2 linked regions of the Pelodiscus sinensis genome follow. The protein of the gene in region 2 purifies or fractionates together with the protein of the main gene of each other region. This does not show direct contact. Links are inferred from orthologs where the notes say so. Each region holds a gene or a part of one and is shown on either strand. Other genes may lie near its edges.

Region 1 (7,542 bases), on a different chromosome or scaffold from region 2:
TGTCTCTAAAGCCTGTCCTTCATTTTTTCCCTCGATGCAGCTGCAACAGTGAGTCTGTTACCCACTTCCCCTAAGTCCTGCAGCACTTCAGCTATCATAGATCAGACAGCTAAAAAACATGACATAGGATAACATGTTTCATGAGCAAATGCTATTCACCCACATCAACGGGGCACAACTAAATATAAGAAGACAAACAGGTTGCTACACAGGGGGATTGTAATAAACCACTTGCCATTGTGCCCTCCACCTCCTCCCTGCAAGACTCACACACTGACCTCCTTTTCTTTCTCTTTTGCCTGGGTTTCATAAATAGAAACTAATGATTTTTGAACAGGAGCTTTATTGCTTGTGTCAACTGCATGTGGGTGTGAGTGAGGGGAGGGTTAACAGACCTGCACATGTAATGCAGGGGGTACCTGGTTAAAAACAATACATAACTGCCACATCACTGTCTGGTCATTCACGAAACCAAAGAATGGTATTGGAGAAATGAGTAGGAAAGTTTTTATCCCTTCAAACAACAAAAACCAGAAGTCAGATAATGAAATTATTAGACAACAGGTTTAAAAAAAACATAAGGGATATTACTTCAACACAGTCAATCTGTGCATCTCATTGCCAGGTGATGTTGTGAAGGTCAAAACTATACTGGGTTGAAAAAACAATCAGATAAATTCCTGTAGAATATGTCAGTCAATGGCTATTAGCCCAGAATGTCAGGGACTCAACCCTATGCCCTGTATGTCCCTCAACCTCTGACTGCCAGAAGCTGGGACTAGACAACAAGGATGGATCAGACAATAATTACTCTTTTCTGTTCTTTCCCTCTGAATCATCTGGTATCATTCACTGTCAAAAGACAGGATACTTGGCTATATGGGCCACTGTTTTAATCCAGTATTGCCACTGTTAAGTTACTGTGAAAAAAATTACCATCAACACTTCAGCAAGCTCCTCAGCCAGTTCTTTTAAAATTTTATCTGAAGCCTTCGATTTATAAATATCTAATTTAACATCCTCCAGAGTAGGGATGTAAAATCCTGTTTAACTGGTTAACCAGTTAACTGATTAAATGTAATGTTTAATAATGTTTACCTGATGAAGGGGGGGTGGTTAGACTGGCAGGGGTACTGGAGCACCCCCTCCTTTCTCTCCTCCATCCGCTCCCCACAGAGGCTGCCACAGCCAGCCAGAAAGCCCTTGTGTACAATGCGCATGTGCTGGGCCCACCACAGATAGGCATTGCTCTGGTCGGTCTGGAGTGCTCCAGCCCACAGAAGCCCCCACTAGTAAACCAAAACTGATAAAACTCACACATTAAACCTTATCAGTTAACTGATTAACCATTCACATCCCTTCTCCAGAGATACCAATGGAAGGGAAAAAAATGTTATCACAGTCCAACTACATTTGGGGTAAAACAGAAGATAGAACAGAAATATTTATTGAGCACTTATACTTTTTCCACATTACTATTCTACCTCTTCCATCTAGTAATGGACCAACACCATTGTCATGATTATTTTTGTTCCTCATATATTTTAAGTACTTACTTAACTCTGCAGGCCAAAGGATTCTCCTTGCATTCCTTGGCATTTTCTACAATTCCTCTCAGCTTCTCATACCTTCCATTTGTTATATATAATTTTTGTATCATAGCCTTCACTTCCATTCTATTGTTTTTTTTAACCAAAACAACCTTCTCTCTCAATTGTGGGACTGTGGGTTTTGGGAATCTCAACTCAAGACTACTTCTACTGTATTATGGCTCCAGCTAAGACTAACTTCCTAAAGTGTTTTGCATGATTAACAACGACAAAAGCAAAAGAAGTGATGTTCACTATGAAAGTTGCCAGGAAACTGAAGTCTGAGCAAAGAAACTATCAGCTGTGAAGGCTGAAGAATATTGCTCCAAATATTTATGTTCTGTGTCATATTTTTATCTTTCTATTCATTTAATGCACTCTCACTGTTGTGCTTAAAATCCTCAATGCAACCTTGTTTCTCTCTATGGTGAGTTCTGAAACCAACATGCAAACCTAACTCTGAAGGGTGAATTATCAAGGTGAGAGGTGTGTGATTCTCAAAACCATCTTAACGTGAGCCACATATGGTGGCTATTTTTCCTTAACAATCCAGAAAGAGTTTGAACATGTCAACAAATATATGGACAAAAAACGTTATACACATATTGCATTTTTTTAAAAAGCTGCACCACTTCATTCTGTAAAAGCAGATTTCCTTCACTTTCACCAAAATAATTCATCTTTTCAAAGTTAAACTATTTGAAAGTAAAAAACCTAGAGTTTTTGGCATTAAATGGCAGCAGGGAATTGAGACCTATCCTTCAGTGCCCAAGCTAACAGCCTGTAACTCAAAAGAAGCTAAAGGAAACTTCTTCACATTTAGGAAAACTGCTTCTCTTGAAACAGAAGTGTAAATCTGGAAATGTTACATCCTTAACAGTCTGCCAAGCCAATGCCGTGCGGGAGCTAAACACAAACTTTACCACAGGATACTGCTGAAACCCCAACGACTGTCCTCCCCCCTCCCCCCAACAATGCCAGGTCTCGTTTATCACGGCTCCACCCACACACGGCACTGGGCACGCGAGGCCGAACCGCGACTGCTGCACGCGGTACCTGACAGCGGCACGAGCACCCGCCCCAGGGCCCGCTCAGCAGGGCACTGCCCCTACTCACGCGCGCGCCGCCGGCAACGGTCCCGCCACGGGCAGGGTGACAGCGCGTGCAACGGCTCTCGAACTGCTCCAGCAGCGCCCGGCCCAGGCCCCGCTCCCCAGCGGCTGCCGCACCAGCCCCGAGACCCCCACACGCCCGTCGCTCGGCTCTTCCGGGCCACTACAGCCCTGCCGGGCAGTGGCAGCTGCGGCGCCCGGTCCCTCCGCTCTGGTACCTTAGGCCCGGCCTGCGGCTTCTCCTCTCGGGCCCGAGGCGCGCGGGCGCCCCTCCCCTCTCGCCCGCCTGCCCAGATCTGGCCGCTGCAGCGCTCACTGCGGCTGCGCGCGTGTGTGTGTGTGTGTGTGTGTGTGTGTCCTCTCGACGCGTCGTTTCCGGCCCCGCCGCACAGGCCCCTGGGAGATAGAGTCCCCGCAAGCCGCCAAGCGTGGGGCTCGGATACTCTCCGATCGTTCCACGCGACAGGCAAGGTCCGGGCCGAGAGGACTAGCTTCCCAGAATGCAACGCGTCGCCTCTGTGCGGCCACGCGCTAGCGGCTAGTGGATGAACCGCAGTGGAAGGCGCTGTGGCCGGGGGCGGGGGCCGGCCGGGCGCGAGCGCAGCGCGCGAGGACTGGGCTGCGTCATTGTGCCGCGCCTCGTCTCGCCGCTGGTGGCGCGCGCCGCCTGCTATCCCAGAATCACAGGGGGGGGGAGGCGGCGCCGAGCTGCTCCTAGGAAGCCTGCGCCTGGTGCCAGAACCTGCACCCCTCCCCCGCGCAAGGAGAACTGGAGCCTACGCGCGTTTCCTGGCCCCGCAGCCGGGAGAGCTTGGGAACTAGCTGCAGCGGGTTGGGAAAGAGGCGCCAGCCCTGCGGTGTTGTGACAATAACCACACCCGACCCGCAGCGCACACAGCTGGAGGAAGAGGCTGAGGCTGTAGTGCAGTGAATAGGCTGAACCGTTTATTTATAGGAGGCCTGTGTTGTCTGAAATTGACCATTAACTGCTATCATATTCCAGAATGCAATCCAGGGCAGTGAGTGATTGTGTCGTTGCCTGTCCTGCAACCTAAGGTGCCTCCTAGGGCTTTGCTGTTGTAGCTCACAACCTGGATCACTCGTGAACAGCCTGCAAGCATGTCTCTGTATCTGCTGCCTGCCCCCAACCCTCTTGCACTCTGGCTTCCACTATCCTTGGTTATTACTTGCAGTGTAACCCCAACACACTCCTTGCCTTGGATTTTCCCAAAAATGTATGCTATGCAGTGTCCAACCTTCTCCAGACAGTCCAGAGAGTAGAGGTCTGTTCTTAGTATTCAAATCTGCTACTTTAAGTGGAGTTACCACACTGTTTAGTTTGACATAGCACTGGATTTGTTTAGATTAAAATAGATTTTATGTAACTACAAGTACAAGGTGAGTACAAGTATGTGACATTAAAGACAGAAACGTTTACAAGAGAAATAAAGATGAAATGCTTTCTAGTAACTAAAACTTAAACTAGACTTAGTTCAAGGTAAGATCCTTATCACGTGTTGCCAGTAATATGTGTGATCAAATTCTCTAGTCTGGATCCTTCCTCTCACACGTGCATCTCCATTAAGTCCCAGGTATGGTTCTTTTGTCTTCTAAAGCAAAAGAGAGGGACAAATGTACTGGGGGACTTTTTGCCTCTCACTTTTATAGTCCAGTTGCCCTTTGAAATGGGATTCTTCTGAGAATTAACCCTGAAAGCAAAGTTTATGCAAAAGGTAAAGAACGAAACCTGGAGTCTGGGGATTCCATGAAGGAAGTTTCATGCTGTTTCTTCTCTTTATATAATGAAATATAGATTTGCCTTGTCTGCTGCTATTTCCCCTTCAAGCAGTCTCAATAACCGTATTTACTACATATATACAAATTGAGGTAAACACATTCTTTTGATTAGTTTAGACCGGTTAAACAACTTTTGTGGTAATATCATACAGGGGAAATTCATAATGCTACATATAATGTTGCTACATACATTTCACCATAATATTGACCAGCAAGTTATTAATTTTCAAATGATACTTCACAAGGCATATCTTTCATAACAGTTGTTGCAGTAGGATGCTGAGTGTGTCAACAAGAGTGCATTCAGTCATAATCACTTACTGCCATTGCCAAAAGAAGCCTGGCAAACACCCCAGCCTCCAAGAGTACACAGATTCTTTTTGCAACTACACATGTATAATTTACAAATTATATACAAAGCTGGGAGAGATTTGGTGCCTGCAGAAATTAACTAAAGCATTTGACTAAAAGGGGTGCAAAATACAAAGCTAGATTTTTGAACTACTCAACCCTATTTCTTTAAAAAACTGCCCCGTCTCAGACAAAATGTAGACTGTGATTGCCAGAGCTGCTGCTCAGGATGAGACCCTGCAGAAAGTAAATAATATCCCAGGTTGCTAGGGCAGCATATACTCAGCTCTTATTAATTTTAGCAAGCAGCATTCAAGAATACAAGGAATTTTGTTTAAAGTTGCGAGGATGGTACAAAATATGTTTTTCTTTTTATATTAACTAACCACTGGCCAGTTTTTCTTCCACTATTTGATCTGAGGAAGTGGGTCTGGCCCACGAAAGCTCATCACCTAATAAACCACCTTGTTAGTCTTTAAAGTGCTACATAGTCCTATTTTTTGTTTCAGCTACACCAGACTAACACGGCTACATTTCTATCACTATTCTATTATGACCCAGGAATCCTTTGGTGCCAACTGGCAAAGGGCAACAGGAGACACACAGGCTATGTCTACACTGGCAGCTTCTTGCACAAGAACAGCCCTTCTTGCACAAAAACTTGCCTGCTGTCTACACTGTAAATTTACAGTACAGTGTCAGAAAACAGGACTTCTTCTAGAAGAGTTATTCCTCTCCCCAAGAGGAATAAGCCCTCTTGTGCAAGAGCTCTTCCACAAGAGGGCAGTGTAGACAGTCAACATAAATTTCTTGATCAAGAAACCCCTATGGCAGTGGTCCCCAACCATTTGAAGCTGCCGGGTGCCAGGGGGCGTGGCCATTCGCCTGCCAGGTGCCAGAGGGCAGGGACACTTGCACACCCGGGGGCGGGGCCGTGCATATGCCACACCCCCATGAGCCACGTGCCTGGGGCCAGCAACCCTATGCGCCGCGTGGCCACAGGCTCTGTCCTTCCCCCCTTGGGTATTCATTATCGGACCTGTGATTCTCGCGACACGCTGCAAAGTCATAAGGTGAGCTGTATTTATTACGTGAGGGTGTCTTTGTAATCGATTTCTAAGTTCTAGAATGTGCATTATGATTTAATTTACTCATTTGTTTCCAGTACTTTCACTTGCTACAATTTGAATCCTTTGTTAAATAAGCTTCTTGTTTTCATTCTACATATATCTGAGCACTATATGCTAAGCAGAGCATTGATCTGATGTGAAAGTGGTAAATTGAGGAGTTCTGTTCCTTTGGAAACAGTGAATCTGAATGTCATCAGTGTCCAGCGGCTCTAGAGCTGGACTCTCCAATCCAAGGGGATGCTTAGAGGATTTGAAGATTGGAGTGTACCTATCACTAACCTGTAAAGGGACAGTGGGGCCTGTGAGGCCTAGAAGAGAGTATATGTGTTGTCCATAACAGGATTTGGGGAGCTGATTCCTGGCAGGCTCAGTCAAAACTTTCTCACACAAATGACAGGTGATAGTGAGGTGCTTCACAATTCTGAGTACCCTTAGGGTGCATCACACCTGCACTAGAGCAACACTGGTGTTCAGAGCATTCCCTGGGATCAGTGCACATGAACATGCCTTGGTGCACATAAACATGTATTTTGCACCTGGATGGAACAAAATCTGCACATCAATGGAAAAGATTAGGGAGAACATTGCCTGGATTAAAGTCCCTGCTCCAGATCAGGGATCTGAATTTGGAATTTCAGTAATGCATATGTGAGTCCTATTGAAGCAATACATACCCAGATTTCTTGTCCTCACCCATATTTTATGCAGAGCCCCAATCCTGTAAGCTGACTCTGAGTATACTTACAGGATTGAGTTCCACTGGTGAAACAGACAAGGGAATTAGGATTGCCAGGTGTCCGGTATTGCCCCAGACAGTCCGGTATTTTCACCTTCTGTCCATTAAAAAAATTTCGGAAAATACCGGACGCCTAAAATGTCCGGTATTTTCTGATTTTTTTCCTGGCCAGGAGGCAAAAATACCGAGTGCTTACCTGGTTCCGCAGGGGAGCAGTCTGGCCCGGAGAAGGAAGACAAGATGGTAGATGGCTGTTGGCAGCCTGCTAGAGCCAAAAAGCCTTAAATGCGTTTCTTAAAGGGGCCATGCTTTTTTTTTTTTTTTTAAATTAACAACTCTCGGGGTCCTTTTTTTTTTTTTCTCAACAACTTTGGTCTCTCCCTTTATTTTCCTCAACAGAATTTTTTCCCCAGGTTTTTTTTTGGGTAGGGGATGTTTCAGTATTTTTGGTTAAGCCATCTGGCAACCCTAAAGGGAATGTCTTGGCTTTGGCTTCAGCTAGAGCTCTGAATAGCTCATTTAACTCTGGCAGGGCGGATTAATGTTTTGAGGGACTTAAGGCTAATGGGAAGGAAGGGCCTAAGTATGTTGCAAAAAATTATGAAGTCATCAAACATTTATCTATATACATATTTACATAAACTTAACACATGTATTCTACCCTCACTACACTTAAACATTTTTTCCACCTGTAACTATGGCAAAGTCATGAATGATTTCATCATAATTCAAAGACTTGACAATTTCATTCTCAGTGCTCAAGAGGGACAAAGCACTGAGATGCTCTTGCATTGTGGTGGATCAGAGGACATTTTTTACCCTGGTGA
Region 2 (7,293 bases):
TGGCGCGAACACAGTTAATGCCTGCAATGCACTGTGAAGATGAACTAAAATAATTGGGATCATAAAATAAGATTTTGTATATCAGTGCTTTCCTGTGCATCCAGGCCTATCCTATAGGTGATTCACACTCAACAATGACAAAAAATAAGAGTCAAGTAGTTTCACAACCCCAAACCACCCTAAGTAGTAAGAGAGGCAATCTGGCCTAGCAGTGACTCAGTTGGGAGTATATAATGTTTCATCATGGATCTCAACATTCAGGAGTAATTTTCACTGCCCCTGCAAAGACTGAAGCCTTCGCTACATTTCTCCTTGTGTAGACAGAGAAAAATCACAATTTGCATTGGTGCAGTTTTAATCTGCTTGAAACTGGGGGAGACCGCGGCCTTCCTTGTCTACAATAGAACTTAATGCTGATGCAGTGGTACCAACACTGAGAATTAGGTTAATTCCAAGCATTAACAAGTCCCAAAAGACTTGGAAGATGCTAAAATAACAAGGAGTCCTATGTTACTTTAGGGACTAGCTAGGGAACATATGGTAGAGAGCAATATTTAAACACCACATTAATAACAGTCCAGGAAACTTGCAACTTGGTCACGTGCAACTTACAAGTGGTTTGAACTGGCCAGTCTATCTTGAAGTCTATTTTGCTAAACCAAGTTATTTACCATTTCTTTTCATAAGCAGTGGGAATTCGGTGTCCTCTAAGAGCATGTCTACACTGCAGAAAAGGTGTGTTCTTAATTTGGGTTACTTGTCATGCCCCGGGTTAAAATAGCAGTCAAGACATAGCAACTCTGCTTTTATATTGTGTTATGGGCTCAAGTTAAAGTCTACAGAGAGTCTGGAGCTGGACTTGAGCTATTAACCTGAGTTGCCAGGTCTTCACTGCTATTTTAATCCAAACAACCTAAGTCAAGAGACTTTTTTTTTTTTAAACACTACGTAGACATCCCCTAAAACGCTATTACAAACTGTACTCTACCAGCATGCTAGTCTTTATATTTACTGACCTCCAAGCATTACCTATCCTGCTGAACCAAACAGGTGGAAACCAAGCACCACAGTTTTATTGTTAGGTTAAGCATGAGCAGGTGGTGAGGAGCTATAACACTCACTTTCCCTCACTACCTTGTGATAAAATTACAAATGCCTCATCACCACGTTGTATTTTACAATGCTGTAACTAAGGCCATGTTATCATCATGGTGTAAAAACCAAAATGAATAAAAACCAACACAAATGTCACCTTTGTGTCCATGATGACAAAACCCTAGTTCATCACCTGTGTGTGAATACATGTGCAAATATTGTGCATCTGAAGGGGCAATGAGAACCCCAGACAGAGCTTTCATTCACCATCTGACAATCACTCAGACAGGTACAGCATTCCCACAAATATCACCACCAGAAACCTGTATTTCCAGGAACCCTGAAGGATGCACAAAGTTTAACCTTGGGGCATTAATGTGGGTCACAAATATTTTGATTTTATGTCTAACATGCCTCAAGCGCACAGATCAGCTGTTGGTGACAAGAGAAGTCAGACTTGTGGTATAATGGTAACTGGCCGAACCAAAGACAGCAACAAGTTTTGCCAGGGCTGACCCCCATCTAGCACTCCACTGAAATCAGTAGGGCATTGTGCCCAGGCAGGAGTGGATCTCATTTTGGAACCAGGGCCTAATGTTGCAAGTACTGTATTGAAGAAATAAAAGCCCCGATATATATTTGATGGAGCAGAACACTTAAATAAACCATACTAAGATGCCTGAATGATCGCTACAAATACCTCCTAGCCCCACAATAAGAGGAAGCAATTGCCAATTCTCCCACTGAATTAGCCCTGTTGCCCTGGCCAAATTCCAACCAGGGTAACACCCAACTTTTGGGGAAATGTCATGGAATGAACACACACACAAAACACTGCCCGCCATACCTAATGCCTACACAATAACCCTGGCCACAGAATCTCACCAACTAAAAAAAAAGCAACTGTGCTGACTGATATTACCAGTATAGATCCGAAAGTATTCAAAAGTATCTTAACACCTCCCCACAGACCCTTCTCCAGCAGCCTAGGGCACTTCAGCATCTCATCCTCACCCCCTGGTGAGCCTTCTCCCACACCCTCCTTTCCTCTTCCTTGCCCCCATCCCAGGCCCTGCCCCAGCACCCCTCCTTGCCTCATCTTCCCCTCACTGTAGGCCCTTTCCCAACACTCCCTCTTTACCCTTCCCCAGAACCCCAGATCCTTCCCCAGTATGCACCCATCCTCACCCCTCTAGACCCTTCCTCAGCACCCTCTTCATCCCTAACCTCTCTCCTGGCCCTTCCCCAATGCCCCTCCCCAGCACCCCCCCATCTAACCCTTCCCTCTTCAAGCCTTTCCCCAAAGCCCCCCATCCTCACCCCTCCCCTCACAAGCCCTTCCCCAGCGCCCCCCATCCCCGCCCCTCCCCCCACAAGCCCTTCCCCAGCGCCCCCCATCCCCGCCCCTCCCCCCACGAGCCCTTCCCCAGCACCCCCATCCTTGCCCCTCCCCCCACGAGCCCTTCCCCAGCACCCCCCATCCCCGCCCCTCCCCCCACGAGCCCTTCCCCAGCACCCCCCATCCTCGCCCCTTCCCCCACGAGCCCTTCCCCAGCGCCCCCATCCTCGCCCCTCCCCCCACGAGCCCTTCCCCAGAGCCCCCCATCCCCACCCCTCCCCCCACAGCGCTCCCCATCCCCACCCCTCCCCCACGAGCCCCTCCCCCCACAGCGCCCCCATCCTCGCCCCTCCCCCCACAGCGCCCCCATCCTCGCCCCTCCCCCCACAGCGCCCCCCATCCCCGTGTCTCCCCGCGGGGCCCGGCCCGGGGCTCTCACCGTCATAGTAGTAACAGACTTTCCGCTTGGTCCCCTGTGTCAGCGCCATTTTCCTGCCGCCCGAGCGCACCAAACCCTCCCGCAGCGCAACCGAACGCGCCCCGGGGGCCAAGCACCCCGCGAGCTGCTCCTCCCGCCCCCGCGCGGGGCAGCCGGCCTATCGGGGAGTGGCTTGTACCCACTTCCTGAGGAATAGCCAATGAGAAGTGACGTAGGTCGGGGTGGCGGCATTAGCACGGTAGGTAGAGCGCAAGTGTTCCTGGACTGTACCACTCTAGAGAAGGGGGAGAAAAAGACAAACGGGTTGGCAGGACGGCACCACTCCCGGAGAAGGGGGGGTCTAAACAGACAGGAGTTTACCACTGGTGGAGGGGAGAGGGGGAGAGAGATAAAGGAAAAGTACCATTCCTCAGAGAATGGGAGGGGAGTTCAGACAGAAATGTATCATTCCCCCAGGAGAGGAATCTGGGCTGAAAGGACTGACCTATTCTCACAAGAGGGGTGGTCTGGGCAGCAAGGACTAAACCACTTGACCCCTGCTGCTATGACATCACGTGCCACATGGCTGCACAAGACATTCCCATCTAGATTCTAGTCCCTTGCTAGGGCCAGCCCACAGTGCACCGCCCAGGGGCCAGGCATGTCCATAGGCCTGGTTGCAATGGGCTGGAGGTAGCAGAAGTCCCAGAATGCACTGGGGCCAGCATGACTGTAGGGGAGGGGACATTATGTCTGCCCCAGGTGGGGGTAGGGCTGGGGTCATGGGGGGCAGTGGTCTCTGTAAGATGGGCAGTTGCGCAGCTGTTCTGGAGAGATTCCAGTGCTGCCCAGCTGATTAGCAGAGCACCCAGATCTAGTTGTTTTGTTTCTACTGGTGATGCACATAAAATGTATTCCACACATGAATGGAAAAAATCCACACATGGATGGGAAAGATTAGAGGGAACATTGGTGGGGGGATGCATTCAGGGGACCACCATCGCCACCAGATGCTTCAATAATACACAATCCCCTGCACCCGTGGAAAAAAGTGAGCTGATTTTTCACACTTGCTGTCCTCACCTTAGTCTGTGCAAATGAGGCAGCTATTTGTTCATGTCACAACCCAGCTCTTTCACCTAGGGACTGACCAGTGTCACCACAGCTTCTGCCACATGCCAGTTGTGCTATACCCTTGCAAGACTTTTTTGTTAATCCCCCCAAAATATGTTTCAGTGTGTGTGTGTGTGTGTGTGTGTGTGTGAGAGAGAGAGAAATGTGACACTTGGGAGTTCAAAAGACGATATTGAAAATGAGCTGAACAAACATGAATTGTGGAGACAATATGTGTTAAGTGGGTTTCCTGGGAATCCCTAGGGAAAGCTTAATACAAATTCCCCAATCCTTGTTATGCAAAAAACAGCCTTTTACACCCTGATTGTGTCTACATTGGCATGATTTTGCACAAAAACACCCGCTTTTGCACAAAAACATTCTGTCTGTCTACACTGGCAGGGAGTTCTTGCGCAAGAACACTGACATTCTAATGTGTGAAATCAGCGCTTCTTGCGCAAGAACTATGACGCTCCTGCTCAGGAATAACCCCTCTTGCGCAACTGTTCTTGAGCAAGAGGCCAGTGTAGACAGGCAACATGAATTTCTTGCGCAAGAAAGCCTGATGGCTAAAATGGCCATCGGAGCTTTCTTGCGCGAGAGCGTCTACACTGGCATGGATGCTTTTGCAAATCTCTTGCGCAATGGCACATGCCAGTGTAGACGCTGTCTTGCGCAAATACTTTAACGTAAAAACTCTTGTGTTAAAATTATTTGCGCAAAATCTTGCCAATGTAGACGTAGCCTCTGAGGAAAGGGTAAGTGTCTGTGGATTGACCTGTTACAGAGGGCCAAGCGCAAAGGTGAGCGCAGCATACAGACACAGCTGATCAGCCCAGCCTAGGTTCCAGTTCTGGATCTCTGGACATGAACTTGTAACTGCAGGAAACATTCAGTTGTGGATTTTGAAGGACAGACTCCTGCCAGAGCCTTAGGCTGGAGTGGGAGGGGGTGACCTCTAGCAGACTTTCTAGCTTGCACATAGCTTCTTTTATTAATGTGTTTTTGCTGTACTGTAGTGCTTTTACCTTAAGAATAAATGTGCTGGCTTAGCCAGAACTGGGTGATAACCTACCTACACCTCTAGGCAATACACTGGGCCTAGTTCCTAGAGAGAAAGCAAAGCATAGTGTGCTGGCCTGCTAGGCAGCCTGGCTTGCTGGGAATATGTAAGCCAGGGAGCAGTGTAGTTTAAAATCCCTGGACAGGAAGGGATGAGATGCAGGTCTCCACCATAGAGAGGTGATAATTGGTAGCCTGAAGCCTAAAATAGATCACACAGGGTGACTACTGGCGGAGGTTGCCAGAAATTGTGACACCAGCAACCCCTTACTGGGCACTGTCTGAAGTCCCCCCTCTCACCCTGCTAGGTGTTAAGTTTGTCCCAACTGAGCCCCCTGCCCGTCCCCAGCTAGTGCCAAGTGTGCCCCTCGCCCTCTGCCGAATGCTTCCTCAGGCCCCCACCCCCGCCCAGCGCCCTCACTCCCATCCCACTGGGCCTGACTCGGGGCCTGGCCCGGTTGGGCTCCCCCTGTGAGGTTGTGAGCACACACAGCTCCCTGCGGTCAGCCATCGCCCTGCTTCGGGCCTGATTCTGTGTCGTGCTGAGCCACCCACCCCACACAAATAAATCCACCCACGCCCGGGGCTCGGATCCCGCCCGCGCGGCACTGGAACGGTCTTGCACGACTGGCCCCCGCGGCAGAAGAGAGGGGCCACTCCTCTGCCGCTCGGCATCTTCAAGGAGAGCCAGGAGCCCCCCCTCCACCTCTGTATACACCCAATGTCAAGCTCGCCCCCTCCCACCCCCTCAAGTGGAGGACACGGGTGCCGTTTACCGAAAGGTGTTTGTTTACTGAAAATCAAAGAGCAACACAAGACAGGGCTTTAAAATACAAGGGCAGGGGGGGGATCAGAGTCCTCACAGGCTGGTCATTCAGAGAGGCTCGTTCCAGGGACTTGAGAAGGTTTCTCTCCCACAAGCCTTTTTGGGGGACTATGTAGAACCCCCGAGGGTAGGTGTGGGTCCACTCTAGAGCCACCACCTGCCAGCCCAGCCTGGGGTCGAATTCTGAGCCCCCCTTCTGGAGCTAAATGTTGTGGTTTGAGCCTGTCTCGATCCCCTTTTCAGGGCACTAATGTCACGGTCAACGGTGCGGAGAAAACAGAAGAGATTTCACCTCTGCAGCTCCTGCCAGGTGAAACAGCCTCCTCTACCTCTCCACACTCCCTGACTCATCAGGTCAGCTGCAGTCTGAGCTGAAATGTCTCCTTCTCCGCCTGCTGGTTTGCTCCTCTCTCCCTTGGCTACAATGGTTGCACTTGGTGGCGGTTTTACCAAACGTTTGGAAGGGCTCTGGGAAAAGTGATTGACTTGTGCCCATACCATAAGAACTAGCAGTCGCCAAATGAAAGGAATAGGTAGCAGGTTTAAAACAAACAAAAGGAAGTTCAAAAAAGAACTAGATAAATTCATGGAGAATGGGATGGGCAGAGATGATGTCACGAGTCTCTGTCAGAAACTGGGAATGAGTGATGGAGAAAGCACTTGATGACTCCGTTCTATTCACTCCTGCTGGGTGTCTGGCACTGGCCACTGTCAGAAGACAGGATCCTGGTCTAGATGGACTTTTGGTCTGATCTAGTCTGGCCGTTCTTACATAATACTTCACACAACGCACAGTCAACCTGTGGAACTCCTTGCCAGAGGATGTTGGGAAGGCCAGGACTTTAACAGGATTCCAAAAAGAGCTAGATAAATTCATGGAGTATATAGGTCCAGCCAATGCTTTTTTGGGGATGGTACTGCCATGCAGTACTGGCACCTCCAGACGCAGTACCGGCCCCTCTAGTCAGAGCTCAACAACTTTTCCCCTGTAGTACCAGCACCTTTTTTTTAAAACAAAAAAAGCACTGGGTCCATCAATGGCGATTAGCCAGGGTGGGCAGGGATGGTGTCCCTAGCCTCTGTCAGGCTGGGAATGGGCGACAGGAGAGGGATCACTTGCTGATTCTCTGTTCTGTTCATTCCCTCTGGTTCATACCTGGCGTTGGCCCCAGTCGGCAAACAGGATGCTGGGCTAGATGGACCTTTGATCTGACCCAGTTTGGCCGTGCTTATTTTCTGTTCGCACACCCCATCGCGTGACAGGCATTGTTCAGAGTCATGTGGTTTCACAGTGAAAATCAGCAAGAGCGCAGGGCAGGGAGCAGCAGCTTCGTGGGCACTGGGTCGTGTTCGGGGGTGTCCCGGAGACCGTCTGGCTCTGGCGCAAAGAGGGTTATGTTGCACAGTGGGGGAGTCCATCGATTTGTACGCTTTGATCAC

Evidence for each region. The genes of interacting proteins can lie anywhere in the genome.
Region 1: the proteins of HDAC1 (region 2) and KPNA1 purify together in Homo sapiens (affinity purification with mass spectrometry; 3 studies listed by BioGRID and IntAct, with this or other methods). This does not show direct contact. The link is inferred for Pelodiscus sinensis from reciprocal best matches to the Homo sapiens genes HDAC1 and KPNA1.

Annotation. Positions count from the first base shown.
Region 1 is NC_134711.1:138,989,213-138,996,754, reverse strand, and holds the start of KPNA1 (importin subunit alpha-5), read right to left. Parts: upstream 3,048-7,542; 5' UTR 2,920-3,047; intron 2,904-2,919; exon of another isoform or gene 2,706-2,903; intron 1-2,705. UniProt on the Homo sapiens protein: Functions in nuclear protein import as an adapter protein for nuclear receptor KPNB1. Binds specifically and directly to substrates containing either a simple or bipartite NLS motif.
Region 2 is NC_134735.1:3,687,906-3,695,198, reverse strand, and holds the start of HDAC1 (histone deacetylase 1), read right to left. Parts: upstream 3,036-7,293; 5' UTR 2,923-3,035; coding exon 2,874-2,922; intron 1-2,873. UniProt on the Homo sapiens protein: Histone deacetylase that catalyzes the deacetylation of lysine residues on the N-terminal part of the core histones (H2A, H2B, H3 and H4).